Lonchura striata: one gene and its partner. The protein of the gene in region 2 interacts with the protein of the main gene of each other region in a biochemical or structural test. Links are inferred from orthologs where the notes say so. Each region holds a gene or a part of one and is shown on either strand. Other genes may lie near its edges.

Region 1 (16,784 bases), on a different chromosome or scaffold from region 2:
CAAAAATGGCTTGGAAAAGCAAGAAAAACAAGCACTAGAGCTGGCATAAGGGGATGGGGCTGAGCAGGGACCCTCCTCAACAGCAGCAAACAGAAGCAAGCTGCAGCACACTGTTCATGGCAGATGACATGAATCCAGCTCTCTTGAAACAGAGGTCAAGAACATCTTTGATGCTAATAAAACTCTAGAATAAGGGATAGGAACAGCCAATAAGCTTAAGAGAAGATTGATTTTGAAGCTAGGAGTGTGTGAAAATCAGTTTTCATTTGGAGAAGATACATGTTCCACTGTACATGTTATGTGGGATCACCTGGTGGGTAGATGAGCAAAGTTTCTGTATAAAATTGTTGTAAGAAAGATTCTTGGAGGACAGAAGTATGTGTTTCTGATGGCAAGAACTGAGCCTCACACTGAGCACGTAAGAGCAAAAAAAGAAAGAAAAAAATTACATAGCTAGTGAAGATTTCTTAAACTATGTTTAAATTTTCAAGGGCAAAATTTGGGAGAATCAGACTCAAGTGCTAAACTAAGGCTGTAGTTTGGCAAACACTTTAAACTGGCATAAATTTACATTGCTGCTGAAAGAAAGTCTCACCATCTGCCAGTCCTCTGTGCCAGCACAAACATCCGAACACTGAACCAGGAGCACTTCTTTTGCCAGTTTATTTTTCAGATGGATCAGTTCCCCAAAACCAGTTCACAGGATGGCCATGTAAATACTTGTGCTGGCAAAGAAGAATGAATACTCCTCCAGCACTGCCAGCCCAGAATGTTCATTGAACTACAGCCTAACACACAAGGGTGTGGAGAAGTCCTAGCAGTCACAGGTGGTGCACCCCACCCTTGGAATTCATACCACACTTCAAAGTTGCGGTCACCACACAGCTGCCCCTCAGAAACCAGCACATCTAATTTTCTCTAGTAGGAGAACCTGTCAGAATCTCAGCAATTCTAAAGTTGGCTGTGAACAAGAGTATTTTCTGGATGCTGCTATGCTTCTCCATCAAATGATCATTTGCAGGAATAACCCCAGTCACTCCCCTGATCATCTGCTTCATCTGGGACCCAAAAGGCTTGTACATGAGGAATAGCAAATCAAAACTATAGTCCTCACATGTCAGGGCTCTACTCTAACAGGGATTTAAGAATGGTGTGTGGGCTGTTGTGTATCCACGGATCACCACACAATCCTTCGAAGACAGCAAACTCATCTACAAGAAAACAACATCACCAACAGAAGCTGCTGTCAGGGAAACAACCAACAGATAAGGACAAGCACTGGTCATATTCTGTATCAAGGTGAAGCAACACAAGCGAGTACTGGAGACGGAGAGACCTACCCACATTTTCCCACAATTCAGTGGCAAATTCCAAGCTGTACATGAGGTCATTCACTAGGAACCAATCAGATCAGTAAGTTTTCTACCAAGAAATAAATTCAAGGTGTGATAGTGAAATGATCTCCAGAATGATACAGGAGGATCAATGTAATCACACATGACACAGGCAAACTGAAGGAAAGCCTCCCACTTTACAGACATTCCTAATCCCAGATCTCCAGTCACAGCTCTTGGGTCCTTCAACAAGAGGAGGACTTACCCCAGCTGCACACCTGCCCCTGTGATCCCTCTCCTTTCTTCTACCAGAGTTTTGGTATCATCATCACTTTCCAGTACCTGCTTGGTTGCCAAGTTCTTATTCCCTCTTATTTTTCATTTGTCTTCTTATTGCCACACATGCTTAAAGTTATATTTTGTAGAATAAGATATAGTGGAAAGAACACCCATAAATCTTAATTTTCCTTGGTAACATTAATCCAACATGTTTGTAGAAAAGCTGCAAGTGTCAAGAGTAGAGAGCCTCTTCTGTCCAGTTTATAAAAAAGCTAACCGCAGGGTATGAGAAACCCACTCACTCTTGGAGAATTACTTTCTAAAGAAGCATTACTAACTTTGAAAGAATCTAATTTAATAGGGCACAGTCGGACTAGTCTGAACCCAGAGTCCCCTAGGTCTTCAGAAAACTCCAGGATCTCCAGAGTAAGAGATTAGCAATTGCCAGAAAATGCAGAAAAGAAAGTTTGCATGATATGTAACAAGTAAAACAATTTTTTAAGCTACAGGTGGCTGAGAAGCAGTGGGTTGCCACTAGCCTACTACTAGAGAGAGGAGAGCATTAAAATGCAGCAATATGAACAGGATTAGTCTCCTGACAGGTTTCTAGAAGTAGGAATGAAAGAAAAACTAAAGGGATGCAAGACGGCCTGTCAAACTGTCTATTTTAATGTCCTTCTAACAAAAGGCAGAGGGTAGGGCTTAAGAGAGGGCTGGTACTGGGTGTAATGGTGAGCAGAAAGCAGAATAGCTGATGGATCACGTGTCTGGTTATATGATTACTAGGAACCCAGTCCACAACTGGGAAGTCGCAGTATTACTCCAGGACCAGTAAAGGATGTATGCCTCAGATCAGCAGAGTCCACAACAGGGGAAAGAGAAAGCTAACAAAAAAAAATCATAAACCTGCTGCTACCCTTAACCCCTTCTTCATGCTCCATATGGGAAAGGAGGAAAAAACATCTCACCTGGGTGAGATTTAGGATGATTTCTTTCCCCGATTTTGATGAGCAGGCTTTTACCTCCACTAGTCATGTAAGAACAGGACAGGCAAGAAACAGAAATACATGCATGTACAAATGTGGCAACTGATAAGATCAAGGAAAAAAAAGAGAATTTATGAAAAGATGAAAGAAGTAAAAACTAGAAAATAACAGGAAGTAGGAGAAAGACAAGAGCTCAAATATGCAAGTATGTGCCACTGTCTGCTAAAGAAAAGAAGGAAGCAGAGTCTGGAAAGAAAGAACAAAAGCAAGGAATGCAGTAAGTCAGGACTTCCAAGATGAGTAAATAGTTAGCCACTCTAAAACAAAATTAGTTAGCCATTCTCTTATACTTGCTGCTGTCTCCACACATCTCAAAGTTACCTGGCTAGTTTATAACTAGTGCTGTATAGATATCTTTCAGGCTGGAGAGTAATTTGCTGACACTCAGGAATAGGTAGAACCACATCAGTTTATGTATACCAGTTCTAGGTGGCCCTGGTAACCTAGAGAAAGCATCTATCAGAGACTTTAAAATATAAAATCTCAAGTCACAACCAACATTTTACCTTATTTCATGTTCTTTGCCTTAATGGACTGGCCCTGGTGAATGTAAATGTTTGAATTAGATCCTATTAACACAACATAGATTTTCACTGACAGGCAGGTTTACAAGACAAGAGATTCAGGGTATATATACCCCAGATCCATTTCTTCTTGCTTTTTCATACACTGCTTCTAGACAGTTGACGGGCATTTCAACAGACATTTGCCAAAGAAGTGAGAGGGCAGGTTCAATGCCAACACCACCCATGGGTTACAAGTTATATGGTTACAATACAAGTTATTTGAAGTGATACTCTGGGTATCGTCTCCTTCTGTTTACTCAACTCTGAGATAAATCTTTGAGAGTGAATGACAGTTTTCATTCTGCTTTTACTGGCATTTTAGAGGACTGAGCTTTCCTGCACACTAAAAGCACTGATTTTTGCAGGGAAATAAGCAAGGGAAAATGAGAAGACAAGGTAATGCATTTCTGTGCCACCAAGGAATAAAGCATTGTGCTTTTACTGATCTGATCCCTGCACCTGTTCTGATCCCCCATACAGAGGGCTTTCTAAAACCAAGCAGGAACATAAAATACAGTAGTTCAGGAATTACAGGCCTGACTGAGGATTACAACTCCAAAAGCCTTGGCATCTATTCTTTACAGAAGCATACCACTGTTCATAAAAACAGAGTAAGTATTCCTTTCTGCTGGATAAAACTGAAATCCAGCAAAACCACTGATATTTTTAGAGTGCAAGTTGAAGAGCCTTGAAGAGCTTTAACACTGCCTGAAAGAGAAATTGGCTTAGAAAAATCCTGCAGGAATCTATGAGGACTCTATACCACGTTCCCATTTAAATGTTTTAGCACAGTACTGGTTCAACTGAAGAAATGCAAGGACAGCATTAAGAAAAAAAAAAAAAATCCCACCCTTTTTTCTTTATCACGGGAGTTTCCCGTGCCCTGAACAAATCCAGGGCTGTTTTTTGCCCTCCAGTTTCTCCCTTCCTCCCTCCCTCCCGCAGCTTCCTACCAGCTGAGATTCTGCAGCTGCAGCAACAACAGTCCATCTGTGACAGTGCAACCACCTCGGCAGGATGACTCCTACCATTTCACTCGCTTCCTTATGCTTTAACAGAGGTAGCAAAGTCTGAAGGGGCTTTACCCCTCTTCTTTTTTTTTATTAAACTGAAAAGATACTGATGAATATTCATTACTAGCTCTCTACCAAGGGCATGAATTTTATTTAAAGGACTGGAAGGGAATCACAAATTAGGCTAATACAATGGGAGATTTTTACTTAGTTCTCTGGTCTTGAAATAGAGCTATAGAGTAAGATTTTTGTGGAAAAGTGACTTAATGAGAGTAAAATAAAAACACTGCCCAAAGCCGCCCTGCTCAATGGCTGTGATTCCACTGCCTGCCACAACACCATTTGCCAGAGTGCCTCGCTGTAATTCACGGGTTTATTGTGCCACCGGTGCACTCACTCACTGTTGCCGGTCTCCTGACCACATTTTTAAGTTCTGCACCTGGCAGGCCACATCCTGAGCCAAGGTTTACCAAAACCCAGCACATTCATGAGAGCCCAAAAACACTATGCACTAGTGGATCCAGGCTCAGCCAGCACCGCTGCCGGGACACCTCGCAGCCAGCCCCCTGCTTCCCACAACCCGTCAGATCACTGTTACCCCGTTTTTCGGGAGACCACGAAAGAACTCCCATTTCAATACTCATCACCTAGCGGATAGACTTCTGGGTCAAGGGGACAGCAGCCCACCCGCCGAGGCTGCGGCCCAAACCCGCTGGGGCTAGGGGTCCCGCCACGACCGGGCGTGAGAACAGAATTGTTAGGGTTGGAAATGACCTCTGGAGATCATCCAGTCCAACCCTCCTGCCCAGGCAGGGTCACCTCGAGCAGGTGACACAGGAAGGCGTCCAGGCGAGTTTTGAATGCTTCCAGATAAGAGACTTCACGACTTCCCCGGGCAGCCTGTTCCAGTGCTCTGCCACCCTACACGTAAAGAAGTTCTTCTTGTCAAGAAGTTCTTCTTCTTGTGCTTTAGTTTACGGCCACCGCTACTTGTCCTGTCACTGGGCAACACTGAAGAGTCTGGCACCGTGTTTTTAACATCAACCTCTGAGATATTTACATACATTAATGAGATCCCCTCTATCCTCTTTTCACTAGACTAAAAGGGCTCAGCTCCCGCAGTCTCTCTTCATGATAGAGATGCTCCAAACCCCTAATCATCTTTGTGACCCTCTAGAGAAAGGCAGCAGCTTCATTCTGATCTTGAGGAGCTCAGAACTGGACACGACTCGGAAGCACGAGTCGGCTCCGGGGAGCGGAGCGGCAGCGGGCGCACACACGCACAGCACAGCCCCACACAGGCACCCGCACGGACAGACAGACAGCCGGACGGACGTGCGCACACGCACGCAGCCCCCCGGACAGCCGCACACGTGCGCGCACACACGCCCGCAGCCGGGAAGCGCCGGCTCCGCGGCTCCGCGGCCCCGCTCCCGCCGCCACAACCCCCTGGCAGCAGGAGCAGGGGAGGCCGGGCATCGGGGGTCCCAGCTCCCGCCCTCCCGCACTCACTTTCGTCCTGCCGTTGATTTTGTAGTTGCCCAGCTTTCCATTACAGTGTCGGATGAGATCGTCCATGCTGTTCATGAGGAGCCGAATGGTCTGGCAGCCCGGCTCCTTGCCCTCCACCCAGGTGATCTTGTCGCCGCGAATGTCCTTGGAAGAGTCGCTCTTCTGGCTGACCAGCTGCCCGTCGGTGAAGCGGCCGGTGTGGTGGAGGGCCCGCACCTCCTCGGCCACCAGCCCGCCCAGCTCCTTGCCGAGGAAGTCGTCCACCACGCAGATGCCGTGCTTGTTCATGCAGGGCACGATGTACTCCAGCGCCAGCCGCTGCGGCACCAGCGACTTGGTCTGCCCGTTGGGGCGCAGCGCGGCCCCAGCGGGCCCCGCCTGCACGCCGCCCGGGTACAGGTTCGACTTGTCCCGGTACAGCAGCACTGCATCCCCGGAGGGCGACGGGGACGGGGCCGCGGCCGGTGCCTCCGCCTCGCCGCCGGCAGCTGCGGCGGCGGCGGCGACGTGATTGTTGGTCAGCGGGGCGGCCTCGGCGGGGGCCTCCGGGGACGGCGGCGCTGCGCCCTTCCCGACCCCCGCCCGGCTGCCGCTGCCCGCCGCGGCCCCGCCGTGGGCGCGGGGCGGCGGGGGGTGCCCGCCGTGGGGCTCGGTAGCGCCCCCTGCCGCGCCAGCCGCCGCAGCGCCGCCGCCGCGGCAGATGAGCTTGTGCTTCTTCCAGTCCTGGCGCTGGTGCTCCTTGCTGCAGTAGAAGGAGCTGCGGCAGCGCCCGCACCGCAGCAGGTTCTCCATCTTCCCGCACAGCTCGCAGTACTGCCGGTCCCGCTCGCTACTGCTGCTACTACTGCTGCCGCTGCTGCTGCCGCTCTCGCCCTGGCCGCCCTGACCGGCGCCTCCACCGCTGTCATTCGCCATGGCGCTGGTGGTGCCGCCGCAGCCCCGCTCCGCCGGGTCGTGTTATGTAAGGAGGCGGGCGGGAGCGGCGCTAACGCGGGCCCCCGCCCGGCCGCGCGGGGAGGGAGCGCTTACTGCATCATGGCCGCCCGGCTCCGGCTCCGCCGCGGCCCCCGCCGCCCTCCACCTCCGCCGGCCCGCGGCCTCCTCCGGCGCGCGGGGGCCCGCGCCGCCCTCCCTGCGCCGCTAACGCTGCCTAGCGCCGCCTCATCGCCGCCCCACCGGCGGCGGAACGGCCGAGGGGCAGCGGCGTGGCGCGGTGCGGGGCTGCCTTCCGCTCCCCGCCGGCCTCTCTGCCCGGTGCAGCGCGGGCCGGCGCGGCCGCCGCCTCTCCCCACCGCGCCTCCGCCGCTCTGCCGGGGCGAGGAGGAGGAGGCGCCACTCCAGAGGCCCGCTGTGCACGTACGCCACTTCCAGCCCGCCAGCGCCGCCGGCGCGTCAGGCGGGCGTGGCCGGGCGGGCGGGGCCGGCTCGGAGCCGGCCGCGTCCTCCGCGCCGCTGCGTGAGGGGCCGAGAGCACCGCTACCGTCGTGGGCCGCGGACGGGCCGCGGGGCCGCAGGGCTCCTGGGGGGATGGCGCCCTTCCCCCCGCCGTGGCGAGTGCGGCCTTCCCGGCGGGGACAGCGGGGAAGCCGCTGGGCGGTGTCACTGCTCTGGGCTGCCGGGGCCGCCCCGTCGTCGCCGGGCAGGTCGCTAGTCTGAGGGTGGCCCGTGACCCCAGTAGCGAGCTGCCCCTGTGGGGTGTGGGCCTGCCGCAGGTGAGGCGGGGGCACCGAGGAGCGGCGGGTGACGTGGAAGCTGGGCACGGCGGCTCGAGTGACAGGCAGGGTGGCGGCCGCGGCACCTGGCTAGAGTGGGTTTTGTCACTCCCGTAGGCCCCAAAATATTCCTGCCGGGTAGCTGGTGGAGCGGGAGAGACGTGCTGTCTCCTACATAAATTAACACGTGGCTTGTGTCCCGCCTAACGGAGTAGTAGTGAAGGCTGGAGCTAGGCTAATTAAGAAATGAAAAGGCAAAAAGCAGGAAGAACAAGCTAGGTGATGTAGCTGCCAAAACAAGGTGAGACCGGGAGCTGGGGCCTGTGCTGTGATGAACATGGCAAAGTCCCTGACAGGCAAAAGGAAACTCGTTTGGCAGAGCAGTGCTGGTGGAGGGACAAAGGTCTCGGCTCAGTCACGTCAGTTGTCAGAAGCCACATGGGCATCTGGACTCCTCTGAGGTGACGTTTAAGCTTCCACTGATCCAATTAATCATGGCTTTGCTTGCTTGTGGTATGGTTTAGGAAAGTGGAGTTTCCTGCAGTACAGCCCAACACGGTGGTCGGTGCTTCAGAGCCGTGTGGTGAGGCAGAGCAATGATTCCTCCTGGACTGGATGTTCTGCCCATCTCCTCAGAGAAAGCATTTGGTGAACTGACAGCAAATAGCTGCTCTGTGGGCTGGGCTGGTGAGACACGATGCATGCTATTGGTCTGCACTGTAAGTTAAGAAAATCCTTTCTAAAGCCCAAGAAGGGTAAAATACATGACCCAATATTACAGATTTTGAGGTAGAAAGGTGAAATGAACACAGAGGCTGCCACAGGACTTCATGTGACATTGGATAAGTGATTTGTTCTCTGCCACTGTAAAAGAGGAATACTAATGCTTTTGATTCTCGCAGGCTTTTGTGAGGTTTTACACTGCAATACACTTGTATTATAGTGACATGACTTTATGTATGCAATTAAAATGGTTTAGTGTTTATCTCTGCTACAGAACTGGATGTAGGATTGATTGGCATGGCAAGAAGACTTGGAGGAATGTTTGGCACTAAGTGTACTATATGAAGAATGCAGCAGAAACAAAGTGTACCAAGGCTACAAGTGCCTTGTGGTGCGTACATGAAAAATGAGAAGGAAAACCGGGGTGAATTATTAGAAAGGCTAAAGGAGTACTGAGAGGACAAGGTCATGAAAGCCCAGTGGATAAAATTTCAAGGTGAATATGACTAGTGAGCTCCAAGGGAGAATTAAAAAGAACCACACAACCAAAGGAAAAGAAAAGATGGCAAATTAACTGGAAACTATGGCAACTAAAAACAAAATTCCAGATTAGTAATTTCTTTGTGGTGAGGGCTGAAAGAAGTGGATTAAAGCCAAGTTTTAAATCTAGTGCATGAAGTGGACAGATTTTTAATGTATGTTTAATGAGAGTTTTTCCTTCAACTATAGGTATATGAGGTATGTCAAAAATACTTGGTTTAGGCATTCCTCTAGCATGCTTTAAGATGAGATTAATTCATCTGATTTCCTTGGACTTGCAGCATTGTTAAACTGGGCTAAATGAGAAGAGAGTTAAGGCTGTTCTTTTCAAAAACTTGAGAAATGCAAACAGTGGTATTCTGCCAGATAGAAACTGAAGAGTTAAAGATCTTTTGCATTTGTTGTGTACTCCTTCAGCAAACACAAGGCAGATGAAAGTCACAGACTTGAAACTCAATCATCCAACCATGAAACAACTCGGAAAAAGACCGAGGCACAAATATGGTGCCTGGCTAAAATCTAATGATAGTTATTAATTTACAGGCTAATTTGGCTTCAGAAGTCTTATGTTCTTTCCCTCTCTTTTCCACATGTTTTTTTGGGATACAATTAAAGGTCTTAGTTTTCACATTTGCTAATGTGCAAAGCTACTTCAGGTTGTCTCGACATCATACTGTCTCACAGCACGGTCAACATGGTCAACAGAAATACCAAGTTCAATAAAATCCATTTTTGGGAGTATGAAGGATTTGCCTTATTATTGCAGCACTACACCAGTGACACAAAACTTAATGAAGGTTGTTTTACAGTGACAAAGCTGTGTTGAGGAGCAGTGGTGGTAAGGAAACTCAGGAAGACAATGAGTATTTATATTACAATAGTGTCTGCAACATGCTAGAAATATTTTCCTAGCATAGAAGACTCTATTCATTGCCAGAGAGCTTGTGCCTTAAAAGTGTAAGGACAAAGCACAACAAAAAGCAACATATGGTATACTAAGTAACATGATCAATATGCTGGTTGCCAGAACAGAGGAGGAAGGGACTTCCTAATTTCTTGTCCGTGTCAGTGAATGTTGGAAAAGAGCTTTACTGCTGACTAAGTAATGATGAGACATACTGCTTTGCAGAGGCAGTGAAAAGTCTTTAAAATTAAATACCAGTCATGATGAGGATGTTATGGGATAAACTTAGTGCAAGGTCATAGTTTTTTATCACCATTTAGATCTGATATGTTTATTAGAAAGGGGAAAAAGGTTGGTCAATGAATAACTTTTCTGTTTTTATTAAGTGGTAATAATAGCTGCATTTACACCATGCTTTAGATAGCTTGTGTACTGCAGCACTGAGATTATATAAGCAACCAAAAAAGAATCTTTGAAGCCTGGGGAGAAGGGGAATGCAGAGTGACAAGATTATAGAAGGTTACAAAGTCAGTTTAGAAACAGAGTTTAAATGAAAAGTAATCTCATGTTGAGGTAGTTTTGCTGTGAATAGGATAAAAAGTGCTTGGAGACCAGGCTAAGTTTTTCATTGGTGCCAGAAGGCCTTTTGGAAGCTACATGTGCTTCTGAGGTCAGTGGTAGCATCAGGCATCAGTGAGACAGATGCATGTCCACAACAGCATCATAATTAAAAGTCAGAACCTGGGGGCTTGTAGCATTTGCTGTCCTCCACCCAGACCACTCCACCATGTTCTTCAGCCTGACTGCTGCTATTCCACTTAAACCATTATTCACTGGTCTCAACAGTGCCATTTTTCAAGCTTGCTTTTCATACTAGCAAGTGAACTGTAACAGGTTTGCAGATTTTCCAAATTAAAGGAGAGAGCTGCTTGTCTGAGTTGGATTCTCTGTTAAACTCACTTCCTTTCTAATCAGGACAAAGTGTACAGAGTACATCCACAAGGCTATGGAAGTGCTCCTTTGTTGAATGCACGCTCTTTTCCTGAGGTACTCAAAGGGTTAGCATGGTTTATTCATCTCCCAGATACCTCCCCTGGCCCCTGTTTCTGCAAAGCAAGGAAAGGATCACCCAGTAGACGTGATCTGAAAGGTGTGGGGTTATTGCCTGGTGGGACTAGTGCCAGCCATTACAGAGAAGTACATGACCAAACACAGGGTCCCCTCAAATCATTTGGGCAGCATAACTGAGGGGGTCTCAGAACTTTTCCAGATCCAGGCTTTGATATGCCAGGAACTTGGTGTTTTCCACAGTATGAAGTGGCATAGGGTGCCGGGGAATAACGCAACTCCACAATAGGGCACTTGGGCCAACAGAGAATTTGGCTTAAAGCTCTGAAAATAATCTGCAGTACCCTGTACCATCTTTCATTCTGCTTAGTGCTTGTTGATGCCATTGTAGAGTTTCCTTAAAACTTTTTGCTGAAATTAAAGTACCAGAACAAGTTGGTTGTTTATCACTGAATATCATAATGATCTAATGTTTAAAAGTAAACAACTTTCACTGTATGTGTTTATAAGTGTTGGACTAAATTACAAGGAGTATTCTCAATTACTTTATGTAAATTTGTGTTTAATGCTGTCTTTAATATTATGCGATTCCTCCAGGCTGTTTAACTAAAATTGATTTTGCTGTCCCTGGATCTGTCTGAAATTATATACAGTTTAATATCTGGGAATATAGCCCATTTTTTTACACCAAAAATATGGTTAGGGTTGATCCAGAGATATTTATACATATTAAAATTTTTGTCTACTGTAATAATTTTATTAATGTTTAAGGAAAATTAACTATGCTAGTGAAATAACAATGGGGTTCTTTTCTTTTTAACTGAAAATTTTGCTTCCAGATGTCTGTATCTGTAAAGCTATGGAAATGCAGAATATCTTAGAAAATGCTCAAGACCAACTCATTCCAGTTTTGTCCTCATTTTAAACTTTGTACCATGGAAAGTTCAAAAGCTTTTTTTTCACATTGTTTGTGATATTTCTCCAGAGGGAGTATTTCTGGCTCTGGTTAGAAAAGAACTCCCTGTCTTACTAAAGATTGACAATTATGTACATTTTTTTGGCCTCTAACTTAAGCAAGCCAGCAGGCCCTCAGGGTGCTCAAAGTCCAGTTATGAACAGAAAATTACTTTTAAAGAACATTTTTTAAACCCATTTGAAATTCACTCACTGATACAGCAATAAGCAGTTTTGGGGGCAAAAAAAAAAGAGAGAGATTCCTGTTTTATCTGTATATAGGTCAAATTTATCTGAACTGCTCCAGAAATTATTCTTGATTTTTCTACACACAGGTGTTCCAGAGTGAGAACAGAGGACTCCAACATAAAGCCCAGTGCTTCATAGCACCACAATCACAAAAAGACCTGTTCATTCTGCATCTGATATCTGCTTCCTGCCTCTCTGTCATCATGATTCAGCATGGTGACATGCTGAAAGATCATTAAGGTGGAAACAATGCCGAGCAGTGTTAGGATGATGTGACCTGCCACGATTATTTTGTGTGTACCTGATTTATTGCACATCATATTTTCTCTTTCCTCGTCTTTCGGCTGCCAGACACGTAGTTCGTACTTTTGCCAGTGCCTGGTCTTGTACTTGGAAAAGAGAACAGGGATGCCCTGGGGTGTAGGCAGGGACAGTTTGCCCTCTGCCCCTTGGTTTGGGAAGCTTGAGAATACCTCAGCTCATGCCTTGCAATATACCATGATATTTAATGAGTTACAAAATCTCCACCTTTTTTTTTTTCTTTTTTTCTGATTACCCATGAGCAGTTACCCAGAGCTCAAGAGAGGAACTCAAGAAGTGTTCCTTAAAACTATGAAGACAAATTTGCTAAAAACTTGGACATTTTATCTTTGGATATGCAGTTGATGCAGTATCTTTTCCCTTTCTCCACATCACTAGCACAATTTCTGATACCCCTAAACTCTTTTTCTTAGGGAGGCAGTTGTACAAGTAGGGGAGATTCCAAGAAAACGGTGAACTTAAGAGATTTGCTGCTATGAGAGACGTGTCTCAGTAATTTAAGTGAGGAAGGAAAAGATAATAATGAGAGAGGTTTTGAGCTGATAAGACGGACTAGGTGGTATTCCTAAATAACAGTGGTTTGATTTTTGTTCTTTTTTTTTTTGATTAGGCAGTTTAATGAGAAGAATGGGGACAGGTTTCATTTTGTTTGTTTTTTGTGTGAGCAGTGGTGTCCTCCCTCTTTTCTTGAACAATTGGGACACAATATTATAGCTCATGTTTTGTTAAAACTATCGAAGTAGCACATCTGTCCCAAAGAGCTCACCTTTGCCAGGCCTGGCTACAGATGCACAAAGACAAAAGCAATCTAAGCTTGAACTCCAAAGAACCACTGCAATCCAGGTGGACTCACTGGTACTGTGTTTTCTGTCACTAGCCATTCTTCCTTCTGCCAGGACAGTGCCTGTGTTCCCTTGCCCCCCTCTGATGCATAACATGATTCAATGTCCTATTGCTCTCCTGCCGCTGCACCCTTCAGTGTCTATCACATCCCAAGGGCTTTGTGATGTCTATTCTTGCATTTCCATTCTTCCCAAAGACACAGTGCCCTTACTCTATGCCTTTCTTGTTTGCTTTCAGTGCTCCTCTTGTGCCTTTCTTCAACACTTTCTTCAGTTGTGGTTCATTTAAGACACAGTGTGGAGTTGATGCCACCAGAAAGGGTGGTTCTGCTCCCTCCAGAGCCTTTCTCCTTGGCTTCACTCTTGTCAAGCCCTTTGGTGAGTCAGCTCAAGAGAGTAGTTTTCTGTTGGATTAACAAGTTGGATCAGCTTACCAAGCGGTTTGATGTGGTGTAAGAGAGGGTGTGGGACCAGCAGGGCAAGGATCTGGGAGGGAAAAGCAGGACCACCCAAGTCAGAATAGTAAACTGACTCGGTCATATAATGTAATTTCACTCTTATTTACTTCACATTGTGTAACTTGACCCATTTCTACTTTCTCTCTTCTCTGATTGAAGAGAAGCTTTTCATTTTGAAACTATTGAGGGGATCAGCAGATCCAAAGTGCAGGGTATTTTGTACCAAGACAGGATAATGGCTAGCATCACTTGATACTGCTATCTAAGGGTGCAAGGAGAGATGTTTCAGGCTATTTGTGGCGCGAACAACATGTCAGTGACTCCAATCTTGTACGTTTTTGTTTGTTTCTTTGTTTTTATTTTCAGGTTTTAGTAGTTGAAAAGTTCTGGCTGTTGATGATAATAGTTATTGATATTTTAGAACTGAACTCATATGTTCAGTTCTAAACATATGAGATATTGATGGATGCTCATTATGATGGTGTTCTCTGTCTTATTCTGCTTATGTTAACAAGCACAACCCTCTGTGCAAATACTCTTTGACTAATACCAGAGTATTAGGTATTAGTATAAGATATTTAATGTTTTAAAGCACATCCCAAGCAACTTATACCAAGGACAGGTACTTACTAAACCAGGAATGCTAGTAGTGGATATACAATAATTTAAATTCCCATATTACCAAAATGGTTGTCTTCTCCCTGCATGATCTAAACTGATACTATTCATTTCATCTCTTTCAATGGGCATTCAGATGGCACAATGCTGTTCATGAATCCACTGAATCATAATGTTGGAGTTGTACATTGGAGAGCTTTTAAAAAGCAGTAGTGAAAGATTAAGTCTTGGAAAATTAAGCTTACAAGGATTTTGTGCAAGTGCACAGCTGGATTTGTATTATTAACATCCTTGTTTTGTGTTCAGAGTGATAGTGTCTGCTACAAGCTGTAATTAGTGCTGGGTTGTGATTGAGTCTTGCTATCATTCTGCATCAGCTTGTCACTGTTTGAGTCACCTGAACCTGTTCCTTGCTCATCCAGTCAGCTAATTAGTGACTTAGAGAAAAGGTGGCATTTTATTGGTACTAAAAGAAATGGCCTTTCATTTTTATGCAGAAGCAAAAAACAGGTCAAGAAGCAACTTGTTCCTTCTTCATCCACTTACAGTGCAAGGGAAGATGATAACATTTATCTTGTCAGGAGGTGGATTTCACTTTTTTTTCCTTTCCTGTTGCATTAGGCTTATATATTCTCCCTGGAATTATTCTCTTTTTTGTTGTTGTTTCGGGTGTATATTGGTGTTTGTTCATTTGTTTATATCAGGGTGTATGTGTGTACCCTCAGATTGTCCGTAATGCTGGGACCATGTTCCATGTTTTCATTAAAAAGCAGATTCCTAAGGAAGATTTCTCCTTTAGATTAGAGCTTCCTCACTGTGTGATTGACTTCTGACTGGAGGGGAAAGGCAGACAATAGATGTAGACTCTATCCTCATCAATTTACCAAATTGTTCAAATGGCTGTTGAAATTTGTGTAGGAGGCAACACTCCTCCCTTTGTGCAAACACATCTTCCAATAAAAGCCATGTGCTGTGGGCAGAAGTAGTCAAAGGCTTGCTGCCTTTTTATTATTTTTTTTTTAATAAACAGCAGCTTATCAGTTTCAGAGGCTGAACATGGCTATCTCATATAAGCACACAGAATGTGTTTGTGGATATGCCCCCCTGTGAAGCCAGCCTGACTCCTACCTTATTTTAGCTGCAGCTATAGCCATTCATTTATCCACTATTTTAAAGCATATTCTGTATTTGACTTGTGGCATAAGTAAAAAAAATGCTGAATCATATCTTTGTGGAGCAACATCCAGCAGTGCATTTGTTAATGGAACCTTATTTTTGAATTAAAAATATCAGCCTCAATCTTTTAAGGAAAAACCACAGCACAAAGCTAAAAACAGTTTTTCTTCTCTGTTGTCTTAAGATAGCTCTGAATCACAGACCTAGGACAAAAATCAATTGAGAATATGAGTTCATGGTAGAGAATTTGCCCCAAGCTTGTCAGGAAGAAAAGTTTTCAGAGGTTCATAAATGTCAATGTATAACATCAAACGCATGCCTGGTGCACTACATACTGTACTGCAAAGGTTTAGTGATTGTTAGATGCTGGGCAAAGCTCTAAAGCAAGATGGAAACTCATTTCCCTTTGAAAGCCTTCAGAGCAGCTAGATGTGAGCTCTTCCAGAAAACTCTCTGGAAACTTTCATCTAGCCTCAGTGCTCTATAAATAGAGGAGGTCTTCATCCCTGAGGAGATTTTGCAATGTCATGTGGGGGAGTGCTGAGCTCCAATGGAGGCAGAGGAAGCAGAGTTGTGGAGCACTGTGGTGGAACCAGAAAGGGGAACAGGATCTCCTTCATTGTGCGATGAGGTGTGAGGACAGGTTGAGAGGAGAATAATTAAGATATAAGGCTCTTCCCAAAAATGAGTGTGGAAGAAGAAATTCCCTTAGATGCTGTACAGAAACAACTGCCAGCAGTGTGGAAAATGAAGCCACAGTGACCGTCAGCTACAAATGACAAAAAAAGATACCTGCCTCAATCAGCCAAGAAACACTCCTGAAGGAGGGGATCTTTCCCTCCCCACCACAAATGGAGAAATGTTTTCACTGGGACCAGTGAAGACAGCAATACATCCTGTAAGAAATTCTGTAGTTTACTACATAGAAATTACTCAATTTTTTGATGGACTGTCATGAGTGTGATAATATATATGACAATCACAAACATAACTCTGGACTAAGTCCCAAGGGCAAGACACTTGGAATTCTGTTTCTGAAAAATATGTAAATATAGAAGGAAACCAGGTGACTGTTACAGAAGCCAGAAGTGCCTGACCTAACACTCTCCCTTTTCATTAAAGTAGGTCCCTTGATTGTGATGGCAGATTAAAAAACACTGTCTTCCAAAACTTAGCTGCACTGTATTTTCCAAGATTTAACTACAGTTAAATTGGGTTTGGGTAAAGTTTCATGTATTATTTTCAAAAGAAATAACTTTAAAAAATGGGATTGAGAAAGGAAAATTTCGCTCTGACTTCTGATAGCTCAGCCTCATGGCAATATTGAAGTCTTGTATACTATACATTTGGAAGAGGCATACTCCATTACTTGTTTGGTTACAAGAGGCTTGATTTTGGCTAAGCTCAGTAATTTGGAGTGAACAAGGCTAATTTTGGAGGCAATATTCTGTCTACAAAAGAGTGAAAAA
Region 2 (14,478 bases):
AAGGTCCCAGGCTTCCTCCAGGGCCGATTTTGGTGTCCCAGGCTCCCCCCTGAGCATTGCCCCCCACCGCACACTCTATGCGTGGCAATAAACAGACCTGAATGTGAAGGAATTGTCCTTTATTTGGGGAGTTCACAGTCAGTTTGGGGTGCAAGGGCAGTGCTACAACCCCCTGTGAGCAGAGCTGAGGCTGGGCAGCGGCAGGCGCTGGGGGGGCTGCAGGGCAGGCAGGGACCCCCGGCAGGCTTGGACCCACAGGAAGACAGCCAGGACAGGGGGTCTGCAGCGCTCCCCTCTCCATCCCTCCCACCACGCGATTCTTTGGCTTCCTTTGGACATTGCACGCTCCGGGGATGTGCAGAGGAGGGCAGCGGGTGCCTCCAGGCGGGCTGGGTCCCTGGCAGCCCCCCAGGGATCGGGAATGTCGCTGTGTCTCCCCTGGGCACATCCACATCACTTCCCACAGCTTCCTTCTCCGTGCGCCTCCTCCCCCTGCCCATCCCGTCCTGGCAGCAGGACCACAACCAACACCCGGGATGGGCACGGGATGGGCACGGGCAGGACGTACCGGTGCCCCCGACACCCTCGGGGCTGGGGGCTGAGCCCCTGATGGCAGGGAGCTGCCCGGGGGTCCCCGCTCTGCTGGCAGCTCCCTGCCCACAGCTGCACCCGCCCGTGCCAGGAGGGATGTGGGGAACGCCGGGGAGAGATCCGGCACCGCCGGCAGAGAAAGCTCCTGGGGCGGCGAGGGGTGGCAGAACCTCGGGGCAGCCCCTGGGCACGGAGAGGCAGGAGCTGGCACCGGCCCTGTGCCGAGGGGCCGCCCCGGTGCCACCCTCAGTTCCTGGCCGCGATGACCACGGACAAAGCCACGCCGCCCAGCGCGATGGCCGTCGCGCCGAAGAGCCACTTCCAGGGGATGGACTGCGGAGCAGAGCACGGGGACGTGAGGGGCCGTGCCCGTGGCAGGGCACACGTGCCACCCCGCCCGGCCGGCCCGCTGGACGGGACGTCCCAAAAAGGCAGCGCTGGGGACGGCGTGTGCCGCCAGCTGACGGCGCTTCCCGACGACGGACGGGCAGCTGGGAGCGAAGTCCAGAGCCCGCAGCTGGCACGGCCGGGATCCGGCGGGCACGGCCAGCAGCACAGGCTGTTATCAGGGATGTTTTCCGGGCACGGCTCCCGGAGCTCGGCCCCCTGCTCCCAGCGGGATCGCTGTCCTGGCAGCCCGGCCACATCCTGCTCAGCAGCAGGGCTGTGTCCCTCCTGCGGGGCCTGGGGGACACTCACACACCCGCTGTGGACCCCCACCCCCGAGAGCCTTACCCAGGGCAGTTTGTCTTTGCACTTCCCGGGGGTGCCGGCGGTGCTGGGGTTCCCCAGCATCTTCCTGTACATCTCTGTCTCCACGTTCCTCTGGTCCGCGTGCTTCTTCACCAGCTTGGAGAGCTCGGCGTGGATGGTCTGGGGAGGACAGCGTGCTGTTATCAGCCCTGCAGCATCCCTGCCTGCCAGGAAGGGGACCTGTCCCCAACAGCACGTTCCACCACCCCTGGGATATGCAGGAAAAGCTCCGAAAGGGCTGAGGGGGTGACGGGGCCTCATCCTGCCCCATGCCCAACGCCGTGGGGCTGCACCAGGGGACACCCTGTGGGTCCAGTGACCCTCTGTCCTTTCTGGCTGCTCAAGCCACTCCCTGCCTGGCAGCCGGGAGCAGAGCCCAGGGCTGATGCCAGACATCAGGAAAGGGATTTTATCCTTTCATCGAGACAGGAAAGTGTCTGCCTCGAGGACAGACATGCACCAGCTCTCCCACTTTCTGTCTGGAAGCAGGCTGGGAAAGCGGGCTTAAAACTCAGCCTGGTGTGAAGTGGGATTGCAGCAGGACCTGCAGCGTGTCCACATCTGCCCTGCTGGGGCAGGACAAGGCTCCCAGTCCTGCGTGGGGCCCACAGGCTCCCCAAAAGCAGCAGGAAGCACCTCGGAGCTGAGCAGGGCAGGGTGGCAGAAGGACGTGGTGGTGGTGGCCCTGGTGGCACAGCCACGCTGTGCCCTCTGCTGGGGGACACATCCCCAGCACGCCGGCTCTGCCAGCCCGTGCCACGCCGGGAAAAGCTGCCTCCAACACGAAAACCTGGGTGTCAGGAGGACAGAACGCTCCTGCTCAGAGCTCCCCGGGGCTGTCACATCAGCCTCACACAACCACCAGCACCCCCAGAACACTTCCAAGGGCTCAGGAGAAGGGATGTCTGTGAGCGCCTCGCAGCAGGGCAGGTGGAGCCCAGCGTTGCTGGAGTGTTTTCAGCACCGGTAGCTGCGGCCCCTGAGTCACCCACGCCTGCCTGGAGCCCGGGCAGCAGCCGGGGAGGGCAGTAATTTGCTGTCCTTGTGGTTTCGCTGGACACGTCACTGCCGGGCATTCGGATTTTCCAGCCCTCTCCAATTAGAAGCTCCATCGGAACTGGGGAGCAGCCGCCCTGCCCAGGGACGTGCCAGGGGAATGGTTCCCAGTGCTGCTCCCTCTCCACCCTGACCTTGATGGCAAAGGAAGGGTTTGGGGTCCTGCTCGCCCTTCCAAGGGTGCTCAGACCGCCCCTGAAGGTGCTGTGGGGCCACCAGGCACCTGCTTGTGCCACATCTCAGCCGTGACCTTCAGGGACTGGATTGTGACATGTATCCTGATGGTCTGGTGGACCTCCCAAGAAAGAAATGGACACAAGAGATCCAGGCGAGGATTAAAGCCCATCTGGAGAGCCAAGACCCCCAGGATGACCCTGTGCAGGCAATACCTCCCTGCCTCCTCCCAGTCTCGCTCCTGCTGGGGTCATTTCCTGGCACTGGTGTTTGATTTCTCCCGAGGCTCCAGTCCTGCAGCTGATCATTAACTGACAGGAAATTCCTGACCCAGAGCTCGCCCTGCCCGGGTGCTGGACTGAGCTCTGGCTGCTCCCAGCAGCCAGTGATTCACTCTTGGGGCTGCTCAGCGAGTTTGTGGGGACTCAGCTCTGCTCCACTTCCCCCAGCCACAGCACAAAGTGCCCGAGCCACCTGGGGCAGCCTGGACCCTCCCTGGGGCATGGCTGGAGCACGGATGGGCTGGCAGGGATTCCTGTCACCAGCAGGACCAAAGGTCAACGGGGAACCTCTCACCGTGGAGATAAGGCTAGAGACCAGCCCAGCCACACTCCACGTGATGCTTCCATCACTCCCCAGGCTCTGGGGGCTATTCCCAGCCTCCCTCCACGGAGCTGGGGACAGCTCCAGGGAGTCTCAGCCTCCCAGGGGCAACGCTGATTTTGTAGGGACGCAGACAATGGAGAAGCAGCATGCAGGAGATGCCCAGCTCAGGGGGATCACGGGCAGCACACACCTCCAGCCTACCTTGTTTGAAGGCTCCAGCTTCAAGGCTGCCTTCAGGATGGGAATGGCCTCTCTGTACTCCCCCTGCTGAGCCAGCACCTGCAGGGTGACACGCGGGTGGAGGAGCAGGGCTGAGCCGCCCCTCAGCCCCCGCCACGCCGCGCACAAGGGTCCCCTCCTCACCTTCCCCTTCCGGAACAGAGCCTTGATGTTGCCCGGCTGGTGCTCCAGCACCAGGTTACAGGACTTGAGAGCTGCCTTGAAATGGTCCAACTTCAGCTGCGAGGCCGCCAGGTTGTTGAGACACTTCACCTTCACGTCCAGCAGCTCGGCCTCCTCGTCCGGGCTGAAATCCACTGCACACACCCCGAGGCCGGGTTAGAGCAGAGCCAGGAGCCCAGCGACCCTCTCCTGGTGGGGACAAGCTACCTTTGGAGCTGGAGCCCGCGATCCTGAGGGCGATGTCGTAGGAGTTGATGGCCAGCACATAGTCTGCCTGCTGGTAGAAGAAGTTGCCACGCTCCCGCTTGCGGTTGGCCAGCTGGATCTTCTCCTTGCCGCTGAGCAGCTCCAGGTCCGGCGCGTCCCGAGCCGCCAGCAGCTCCACCTCCAGCCTCAGCGACGCGTTGGGGGGGATGTCAGGGCTCCTGCACAAAGCCACGGGGCCATTGTCACCTCTCTCAGGTGCCGGGCTGGGTGGATTCGGCACCGTGGCTCAGCAATCCGAGCCAGGGAAGGTTCCTGGGGCAGGGAATGATGGGGATCGTTCGGCTCCAGGGAGGACACGCTGCTCGTGAGGAAGCAGAGGTTGGACAGCTGGGCTGTCACCAGGGGAGCAGGGGACAGCTTCTCCAGCCCTGGTTTGGGAGCGCCCTGCCAGCTCTCACCTGCCCTGAGCTCCGTAGCAGTACTTGGCTTCTGACACAATCAAAGCCGTCTCGCCCATCTCCAGGAGCTGCACGCACAGGTCCAGAGCCTGCAGGGGACAACAGAAGGGACTGTGAAGGTTCTCCAGTTCCAACCTCCCGTCACGGTTGGACCTTTACATCTTCCACAAGACCAGGTGGCTCCAAACCCCCTCTAACTCAGCCAACATCGCAGGGAAGGAGCATGAGAAAGGGCAGAAGGGCCGCTTATGTCCACCAAAGGGATGTCACCGACCCCAACCCTCCCTGTGGCCCCCGAGGTGAGGTCCTGCTCCCAGGTGAGGTGCTCACCTGCAGGACGTCGCAGTCCCCCAGCGTGAAGGTGAGGGCAGGGTCCTCTTCCACCACGGTGCCATCCTCCAGCGTGGCCTTCAGGCGGATTGTCACGTCCTGGCCCTTTTGGGGACGGCTGTCCGCGCCCTGGCCCGGCACCAGCGTCTTCTTCTTGAGCAAACCATTCCCTGCGCACAGAGAGAGCGAAGCACATCGCGGGGAGGGCAAAGCCCGGCGGCCCCCACCCTCCTGCGCCTCCCGCCCGGCCCTGGCGGCGGCGGCAGCCCCGGGGGAGCCCCGGCACCGAGCAGCGTCCGCTCTCACCCAGAACATCGAGCCACTCCTCGGGGTCCCCGGCCGCGCCCCCCGCGCCCCGCTCCGGGGGCTGCGCGTCCTCCCGCGGCGGGGCCGCCGGCCGCCCCACGGCCTCCAGCGGCGGCAGCTCGCTCAGGTCATCCTCCTCCTCCTCCTCCTCCTCCTCTTCCAGCACCTCGAAATCCTCCGCCGTGTCCAGCTGAGCCGCGTCCGCCGCCGGCTCGGTGCCGGTGCCCGCCCGGCCCGGGGAGCCGCTCCTCGCTTCTTCCCCGCTGGACGCCATGGCGGCGGAGCGACCTGGAGCGGGGGAGAGAGAGCACAGGGATGGAGCCTGCTCTTACCGGCAGAGCCGCTCCGCCGCTCCGGACAGCACCGGGACCCTCCGGGGCCGGGGGATGCGCAACGGGACAGCGGAGACTCCGGAGCGCGGGGAAGGATGGGGCCTGGCGGGGGGCTGTCCCGGTGGGATGGGGTCTGTCCCGGTGGTGGGGGGGTCTGTCCCGGTGGGACCGGGGGTCGCGGTCCCGGTGCCGTGGGGGGGGGCGGCCCCGCGCCCCCCGCCCGCCCCACGTGACCGCCGCGCGCCCCCCGCCGCTCCCACCTGGCCCGCGGACGCGCGGGCGCAGGCCCCGCCCCCCCGCTCCTATTGGCCCGGCTCCGCCCACCGCGCCACGCCATTGGGCGGGGAGCACGCCCGTCAGCCACGCGCCCGCGGCGCCCCCCGACGCCTTAAAGGGGCCGCCACCAGCGCGGCCGCCCCGGCGCGGCGGGGCCGAGGGCGCGGCACCGGCACCGGTACCGGAGAGGCTCCGTGATGCCCGCGGGGGTCGCGTCCCTCCCGCCCGGCCGCTCTCCGGCACTTCCGGCTCGGCGCGGTGACGGCGCGGGGTCGCGCCCCACGTGACTGCACACCCGGAAGCGGCGCTGCCGCCCCCGGTACCGGGACCGCTCCCGTCATGTGAAGCGGCGGGACGGGCTCCCGCAGGTGCGCGGGCACTGCCGGGAGGAGGCCCCGGGGACACCAGTGGGAGCTCAGGCACCCGTGTTCCCGAGGGAGCCCGGGGCTGGCGGCGCTACCGGCACCGGCGGGCGGCCAGCGGATCCCGTTACCGGCGAGCGGGGCCGCCCCGGGAGGCGGCACGGCGGCGGGGTGCCCGCTGCTGGGTGCACGGCAGGGCGGAGGGGGTCCCGCTGTCACGGAGGGGAAGGGGAGGGGGGGGGTCTCCGTTACCGGTGCGGGGAGCGCGGGGGGCTCCGGTGCCCCCGGTTGAGCCGGTCCCGCGGTCCCGCAGGCCACGATGGAGCCCACGGCCTCGCAGGTGTTCTGCGGGAGGGTGCTGGGCATGGTGAACGCCGAGGACGTCAACGCCATCATCCTAGCCCAGAAAAACATGTGAGTCCCGGGGGGAGCGGGCGGTGGGAGTGCCGGTACCGGCACCGGGAGCTTTGCCGAGCTCCCGGTGCCTCCCCCGCGCAGGTTGGATCGGTTTGAGAAGACCAACGAGATGCTGCTCAACTTCAACAACCTTTCCAGCGTGCGCATGCAGCAGATGAGCGAGCGCTTCCTGCACCACACCCGGACCCTGGTGGAGATGAAGAAGGACCTGGACAGCATCTTCCGGAGGATCCGGTGCGAAACCGGGGATACCGGCCCGGGAGGTGGCCTGGGGGGGCTGGCGGGGCGTTACAGCGGGGCACAGGTCAGAGTCTGGGGGGCTGTGAGAAGAAAAATCTGCTGCGGAAGGGAAAATACACGATGGAGTGACACGTGGAGGTTGGAGCTTTGGGTTTCCATGATCCTGCTCGGGATGGGATTGGGGTGGGATGGGCTTTAAGGTCCTTCCAAGCACTCTGGGAGTCCCTGGTTCCATGAACGAGGTGACACCATGGTGTGAAGATGTCACCAGGAGGTCCCTGAGGGATCCAGGAGAGCTGGAGAGGGACTGGGGATGAGGGATGGAGGAACAGGACACGGGGATGGGGGGATATGGGGAAGGGATCGTTCCCTGTGGGAACTGGAGGTCGGGCTGGAGGAGGGAAGCTCCAGGGACACCTTGAAGCCACTTCCAGAGCCTGAAGGGGCTCCAGGAGAGCTGGAGAGGGATTTGGGACAAGGACTGGAATCCCAGCACAGGGAATGGCTTCAAAGTGGGAAGGGGAATCTGGGTGGGATATTGGGAAGGAATATCCCACCTCCAGGCTGGGATGGAATTCCCAGAGAATCTGTGACCATTCCTGGAAGTGCCCAAGGGGGTCTGGAGCACCCTGGGACACTGGAAGGTGTCCCTCCCTCTGGGACCTTTAAGATTGACGGTGGGATGGAATTCCCAGAGAAGCTGTGACCATCCCTGGCAGTGCCCAAGGGGGTTTGGAGCACCCTGGGACACTGGAAGGTGTCCCTGCCATGGGTGGGATGGGCTGGGATGGGCTGGGATGGGATGGGATGGGCTCTGCTTGGGATGGTCACAGAACGTGGGATTCAGAAACAGCCCGTGTGCTGGGAAGGGTGGGATGGGCTCTTCTGGGGGTTTGGGGTGGGAATCCCTCAGCCTCGGGGTTCGTGTGCACTGCCCACAGCGCTGGGAGCTGTGGGGCAGCTCGGCTCCGGCTCCCTCCGCTCCCCACGGACTCGGATTGTTCTCTCCTCCCCAGGGCGCTCAAAGGGAAGTTGGCAAAGCAGTACCCAGAGGCTTTCAGCAGTGAGTGATTCCTGACGTGCAGATTCATGGGTTGGGCTGGGAGGGACCTCAAAGCCCGTCTGGTGCCACCCCTGCCGTGGCAGGGACACCTTCCCCTGCCCCAGGCTGCTCCAAGCCCCATCCAACCTGGCCTTGGGCACTTCAGGGATCCAGGGGCAGCCACAGCTGTGCCAGGGCCTGCCCACCCTCCCAGGGAGGAATTCCATCCCAAAATCCCATCCATCCCTGCCTCTGGCAGTGGGAAGCCATTCCCTTTGTCCTGGAACTCCACTCTCTGTTTTATTCCTGTGGGAGCAGTTTCTGTTCCCAAGAACATCTCTCAGGAGTCACAAGTCCATGTGCTGGCATGTAGCTGCTTCCCTAAAAATCAAAAAAACCCTCCTTAATTCCATTAAATCCAGCTGCAAGAAATCACAAACAACCCCTAATTTACGTGCTGGTGATTCTCCGGGTATTTTTTAATCCCTGCTCCCAGCACGATGGGAGAACTGCTCTCCCCACCACCAACCTTTACCTCCCTCTCCCCTCTCAGACATCCACGAGTCCCCCATCCTGGAGGACGACGACGACTTCGACCCCGTCCCCAAGAGCACCACGACCACCATCGCTACCTCGGAGCAGAGCACGGAGTCCTGTGACACCAGCCCCGACGTCATCTCCCCTGCCACCAGCCAGGATTTTGAGGATTTATCCCAAGGCCACTACGACGGCCCGGCCGTGAACGGACAGAGTCTGACAGACGAGGACACGGCCAGCGGCCTGGGCTAGGAGCCACGTCCCACCCCGGAGAACTTTCTATCCTCTATTTATAGCTGTGTGTCGCTCTTTTGGGTTTGCTTTTTTGCTTTTGGTTATTTTTTTTTTTTTTTTTTTTTGGTTTTCCTCGGGAAGAGGGAAGCGAAACTGGGAGAAGCTGAGGGAGGAAGGCGCTGCCCTTCTGCCTGGAAACTGCGGCTGGGGTGGAAAGCCAGCGCTGGCTTCAGGGGAATCAGTAAATCCTGGTTGGAAATGCCTCTTGTCCTCCCTCGTTCCTGCGCTCAGGAGAGCGGCTACGCTTTCATCTGCATAGATTTTTTGGTGCAGAAAAGCCGTTTTTGGGGCACAGGTGTTTAGGTTTTGTAGGAAATGCTGCCTCTGAGGCTCTGTGTGCCCAGCAGCTGTGCCAGGGGCCTGTCCCTGCTGCTGATGGACTTGTGCTGGCTGAGTTCTCCACTGCTGGGATGAGCCAGAGCCGCGTTTGCTTCTCAAACTCACAGTGCTGCTGGTTGCTCCACAGGCACCTCCCAGGAACAGGAGCTGTCCAGATCTTTCTTTTCCACCAGCACTGCGGTGTGATGCAGGAACTGCTGGGGTTGGGGGTCCTGAAGGCCTGGGTGGGGATGAGGGAAGAGTTGGGGGCTGCAGGAGTGGGTTTTGCAGCTGATCCTGGAGCTGCAGCTGTGGGAGCCACCATGGGGTTGTGGAGCCAGCATGGGATGGTTCTGGGGCTGTGGGGCCGGTCTGGGATCCGTGGGGTCAGTGTGGGCCAGTCCCCGGGGCTGTGGGCACTGTTAAATTTGGGGGTCAGTCCCCAGGGCTGTGGGCAGTGTTAAATTTGGGGGTCAGTCCCCGGGGCTGTGGGCACTGTTAAATTTGGGGGTCAGTCCCAGGGGGGTCAGTCCTGGGTCCATGTGGTCAGGGTTGATCTGGTCCCAGATCCGTGCAGAACCTCCGGTGCCCCGTCCCGCGGTGCCGGTGTCACCCCGGCAGTGACAGAGGCGTCCCGGGACGGTACCGGGGCTGTCCCGGGGCGGTGCCGGTGTCCCCGCCGGAGGTGCCGGGGCGGTACCGGGGTGGTACCAGGGCGGTCCCGGGCGGTCCCGGGGCGGTGCCGGTGTCCCCGCCGGAGGTGCCGGGGCGGTCCCGGGGCGGTGCCGGTGTCCCCGCCGGAGGTGACGGGGCGGTACCGGGGTGGTACCGGGGCGGTACCGGGGCGGTCCCGGGGCGGTGCCGGTGTCCCCGCCGGAGGTGCCGGGGCGGTACCGGGGCTGGGCGGTGCCGGTGTCACCCCGGCAGTGACAGAGGTGTCCCGGGGCGGTCCCGGGGCGGTGCCGGTGTCCCCGCCGGAGGTGACGGGGCGGTACCGGGGTGGTACCAGGGCGGTCCCGGGGCGGTGCCGGTGTCCCCGCCGGAGGTGCCGGGGCGGTCCCGGGGCGGTCCCGGGGCGGTACCGGTGTCCCCGCCGGAGGTGCCGGGGCGGTACCGGGGTGGTACCAGGGCGGTCCCGGGGCGGTACCGGTGTCCCCGCCGGAGGTGACGCCGCCGCCGTTCCGGTCCCGCCTCCCTTTCCCTGAGCAGCGCGGCCGCGGGTGCGCGCGGTGCGGGACCGGAGCGGGCCCGGGGCACGGCTGGGGCCCGGGATCCCGGCAGGGGGACCGGGATCCGGGAGCGGGGAGCGGGGGCTGGATCCCGGCAGGGGCCCTGGGTCCCCGGGGACGGGACTGGATCCTGCGGGAGGGCCCCGAAACCCGGGATGGGGGCTGGATCCCCGGATGGGGGCTGGATCCCGGGATGGGGGCTGGATCCCGGGATGGGGGGCTGGATCCCGGGAGAGCGGGGCGGATCCGGGCACAGCGGGGCTGGATCCGGGGATGGGGGGCTGGATCCCGGGATGGGGGGCTGGATCCCGGGAGAGCGGGGCGGATCCGGGCACAGCGGGGCTGGATCCGGGGATGGGGGCTGGATCCCGGGATGGGGGCTGGATCCCGGGAGAGCGGGGCCGATCCCGGGAGAGCGGGGCTGGATCCCGGGATGGGGGCTGGATCCCGGGATGGGGGCTGGATCCCGGGAGAGCGGGGCGGATCCCGGGAGAGCGGGGCCGATCCCGGGAGAGCGGGGCCGATCCCGGGATGGGGGCTGGATCCCGGGATGGGGGCCGGATCCCGGGAGAGCGGGGCCGATCCCGGGATGGGGGGCTGGATCCCGGGATGGGGGCCGGATCCCGGGAGAGCGGGGCCGATCCCGGGATGGGGGCTGGATCCCGGGATGGGGGCTGGATCCCGGCACAGCGGGGCGGATCCGGGCATAGCGGGGCTGAATCCCGGGATGGGGGTTAGATCCCGGGATGGGGGTTAGATCCCGGGATGGGGGCTGAATCCCGGGATGGGGGCTGGATCCCGGGATCGGGGCTGGATCCCGGGATGGGGCGCTCGGGAACGGGGCTTTGGGAGGGTTGGAGCGGCCGGGGAGCGGCGGGGCCGGCCCGGGGTGACGCGGCCGCCGCTGCCGCAGGTGAGAAGGTGCCGAGATGCAGATCTTCGTGAAGACCCTGACGGGCAAAACCATCACCCTCGAGGTGGAGCCCAATGACACCATCGAGAACGTGAAAGCCAAGATCCAGGACAAGGAAGGTAGTGGCGGGGCCGGCGGCAGCGGGGTGGCCCCGCGGGGGTCCCCCGGTGTCCCCAGCACGGTGCTCGTGTCCCGCAGGGATCCCCCCCGACCAGCAGCGCCTGATCTTCGCGGGGAAGCAGCTGGAGGACGGCCGCACCCTCGCAGACTACAACATCCAGAAAGGTGCTCCCCGCACCCCGGGGCTTTTTCGGGGGGGCGTTTTTGAGGTGCCAGCCTCTCCTTTTGCCCCGGTGTGACGCCGATGTCTCCTGGCAGAGTCCACCCTGCACCTGGTGCTGCGCCTGCGAGGGGGAATCATCGAACCCTCCCTGCGCCAGCTGGCCCAGAAGTACAACTGCGACAAGATGATCTGCCGCAAGTACGTCCCCGTGTCCCCTCCCCTGTCCCCTCAGCCCCTTCCTGCAGCCCCCCGCGGTCCCAGAGCCCCTCCCCAGGGCTCTGCTGACCTGTCCCCCCCAGGTGCTACGCCCGCCTGCACCCCCGCGCCGTCAACTGCCGCAAGAAGAAGTGCGGGCACACCAACAACCTGCGCCCCAAGAAGAAGGTCAAGTAGAGCCTCCAGCCCTTGCCTGCGCTGGCTAATAAAGAATTGCAATCCTCAGCCCCGTTTTCTGGTGGTTTTTTTACCCAAATCGTGGTTTTCAGTACAGCGGGGGCTGTACTGGAGCAGCACAGAGGGTGGGGAGGGACGGAGGTGGTGGTGCTGGTGGCAGTGTGTGCACGGACTGGGCCGGCACTGGGACCCCCCGTGCCCACCCGTGGGGACCCCGGCACTGTGCACACAGCAGATGGACACTGGGACGTGGCCGGGGACTGGACCCTGTTCGTGCAGCCCCAGCCACGGGGGTGACTGTCCCCAGCACCCCTGCACGCCCCTGCCGTGCACTGGGAGCCTCTGGTCACCACAGCTGGGTCTGCACGGGCACCGGGACCCCCCTAACCACCCCTGGGACCCCCCTAACCACCCCTGGGACCCCCGGCCAGGCGTGCATGGGACCGGCTCGGTCCTGGGCTCTCCCCGTTACGCTGCAAACGCACCGGGAGCCCCCGGCCGCGTGTCCAGGGACGGGCACCGGGACGGGTACCGGGACGGGTACCGGGACCCCCTGTTCGCGGAGCCCCCGCTGCATGCCGCTAGGCGTCACCGGGACCCGGCCGCGCGCTCCCGGCACGGGCGGCCCCGGTACCGGGGACGGGGCTGGCGGCGCTGCCGGTCGGTGCCTGCAGGTGGCGGCGGAACCGCGCTCCGCCCCGCGGGCCCCGGGCCTGCGCCGTGCGGCCGGGCCGGGCCGGGCCATGGTGAGCGGCACCGGGAGCGCGACGGGAACGGGAGGGGCGGCACCGGGAGCGCGACGGGAACGGGAGGGGCGGCACCGGGAACGGGACGGGAACGGGAGGGGCGGCACCGGGAACGGGACGGGAACGGGAGGGGCGGCACCGGGAGCGCGACGGGAACGGGAGGGGCGACACCGGGAACGGGACGGGAACGGGAGGGGCGGCACCGGGACCGAGCGGGTCGGTGCGCGCGTGGGCACGGCAGGCTCGTGGGTGCGGGGTCCCGGTGCGGGGTCCGGTGTGAACCGGGGATCCCGGTGCCGCTCCGTGGACACGTGGCCGGGGGGCTCCCGGTGCGTTTGCAGCGGGCTGGGGACATCCCGGCGCCGGGGAGGTCCCGGTGCCCGTGCGGGTTGTGTGAGCATGGCCGGGGATGCCGGTACCGGTCCGGTAGAGGGGGGTCCCGATGCGCACATGGACGGGACGGGGGTTCCGGTGCCCGTCGGTATCGCGGACACGTGTCTGGGGGATCCCGGTGTTAGTTCGGTTCCTATATGAGCGGCCTGGGGGCCCGGTGGGTGGGCACGGGGATACGAGGGGTCCCGGTGCGTGACGGGCGGGTCCCGGTGCCGGTGCTGGGCTCAGCTCAAGCACCGCGGCCGGAACCCACCGGGACCCCCAGGACCAGGTGCTGGGCGAGTTCGCGTTGCCCCGGCACTGGGGTGATCCCTCTGGGCGGCACCGGCACTGCCCGGAGCCCGTTACCGGCTCACGGTGCCCGTTACCGGCTCACCGGTGGCCGTTACCGGCTCACCGGTGCCGCCCCGTCCCCTTCTGTCCCGCAGACGGGCGAGGCCGTGCGGGAGCTGCTGCAGCGGCTGCGGGCGCTGCAGAGCGAGCGGGTCGAGACGTACCGGCTCTTCGAGGAGTGAGTACCGGCACCGGCACCGGCACCGGCACCGGGCGGGGACGGGCTCCCGGGGGGCGGCACCCACCGGGACGGGCGGGACACGCGGCACCTCCCGGAGCGGGGCACCCCCAGCAGGGAACCGGATTCCCCATCGCGATTATTTTGCATCCTGTTGGGACGGGGCCACGGGGAGGGCTGATGAGCTCCAGCTGGCAGCGGGACTCTGCGCTGGACACCTGAATCCTATTTTAGCATCCAGCAGATGATGGACTTGTTGGGATGCAGGGCTGAGAGTGTAAAGGATGAAAAAAACCCAAACCCCCAACTTTCCCCCCCCCCAAAAAAAATCAGTTTCCAACCCTGTCCCGTGTGAGGGATGAGGCTGCCTGCTCATGCTGCCCAATCCAGGCAGGAGCAGGCAGGAGAACCCTCCCGGTGCTGCCCGTGGCGGGTGGCAAAGGGGGCTGAGCTCCGGGAGCTCCCAGGTGTGTGGTGACAGTGACAGTGGCTTCTCCCCCCGACCCGTCCGCAGGGGCCACCGGGCATACCTGAGCAGTGGCCCCCGCTATGACTTCCCGCGGTACCGGCAGCTGGTGCACGAGGTCACCGTGGCCTTCAGCGGCATCTCCCGGGAGGTGCTGGCCATCGCCGGGCGCCTGCGGGACGAGCTCGGCCGCCCCGAGCTGGCCCAGCACCTGGCCCGGCTCCAGGAGCGGGAGCAGGAGAAGCTGCAGCTGGTGGGTGCTGGGCTGGGGGGGCTCCCCGGGCCAGTGCTGGGGCTGGTTTCGGGGGGTCTCAGCTCCCGTGGTGTCCCCCCCGCAGACGGCGCAGCTGCAGCTGGCCCAGCAGCAGGCACAGGACCAGCCCGAGGTGGACGCCCATCGGCAGGAGGTGCAGGAGCTCAAGCACAAGTAGGTGGTGGCTTTGCTGCTGTCCCCCCTCATTTTGGGAAGGCAGCACCCCCCTAGGCTAGAACCTCCATTGCCATCCCCTTCTCCCCTCGTTTTGGGGTGGCACCTCCTCCCCAGCCCGCTCAATGCTGGAGTGTCCCGAGTTGGAAGGGACGCGCACGGATCGTGGAGCCCAGGCCAGGAGCCCCTTCCCTGCCTTTCCCTGCCTTTCCCTGCCTTTCCCCGCCCTCCCTGCGGCCCAGGGGGGCCCAGATGGTGCCTTCGGGGTCTGGCGGCGCTGCGTGGCCGCGTCCCCTCGGCCTCCCCAGGCTGAGTGTTTCATAAACAGCGCGGGGAAGGCGAGGCGGCCCACATAATACGCTCCATATGGGCTTTATTTATAGTTTCCATCCGCTCTCGTAGGCTAATTAAAACCA

The links.
Region 1: the proteins of FKBP8 (region 2) and EGLN1 form a complex in vitro, tested with the Homo sapiens proteins (2 studies listed by BioGRID, with this or other methods). The link is inferred for Lonchura striata from reciprocal best matches to the Homo sapiens genes FKBP8 and EGLN1.

Annotation. Positions count from the first base shown.
Region 1 is NC_134605.1:43,657,799-43,674,582, forward strand, and holds the start of EGLN1 (egl nine homolog 1), read right to left. Parts: upstream 6,796-16,784; 5' UTR 6,666-6,795; coding exon 5,751-6,665; intron 1-5,750. UniProt on the Homo sapiens protein: Cellular oxygen sensor that catalyzes, under normoxic conditions, the post-translational formation of 4-hydroxyproline in hypoxia-inducible factor (HIF) alpha proteins.
Region 2 is NC_134630.1:7,138,668-7,153,145, forward strand, and holds FKBP8 (peptidyl-prolyl cis-trans isomerase FKBP8), read right to left. Parts: upstream 5,758-14,478; 5' UTR 5,674-5,757; intron 5,172-5,673; 5' UTR 5,158-5,171; coding exon 4,884-5,157; intron 4,748-4,883; coding exon 4,578-4,747; intron 4,337-4,577; coding exon 4,248-4,336; intron 4,008-4,247; coding exon 3,790-4,007; intron 3,717-3,789; coding exon 3,544-3,716; intron 3,460-3,543; coding exon 3,382-3,459; intron 1,465-3,381; coding exon 1,327-1,464; intron 925-1,326; coding exon 838-924; 3' UTR 103-837; downstream 1-102. Other genes in the region: KXD1 (kxDL motif-containing protein 1), read left to right, coding at 6,173-6,267, 6,352-6,504, 7,527-7,573, 8,106-8,341; UBA52 (ubiquitin-ribosomal protein eL40 fusion protein), read left to right, coding at 10,860-10,962, 11,042-11,128, 11,222-11,324, 11,426-11,519; REX1BD (required for excision 1-B domain-containing protein), read left to right, coding at 12,263-12,265, 13,087-13,169, 13,684-13,888, 13,974-14,062, 14,465-14,478. UniProt on the Homo sapiens protein: Constitutively inactive PPiase, which becomes active when bound to calmodulin and calcium. Seems to act as a chaperone for BCL2, targets it to the mitochondria and modulates its phosphorylation state.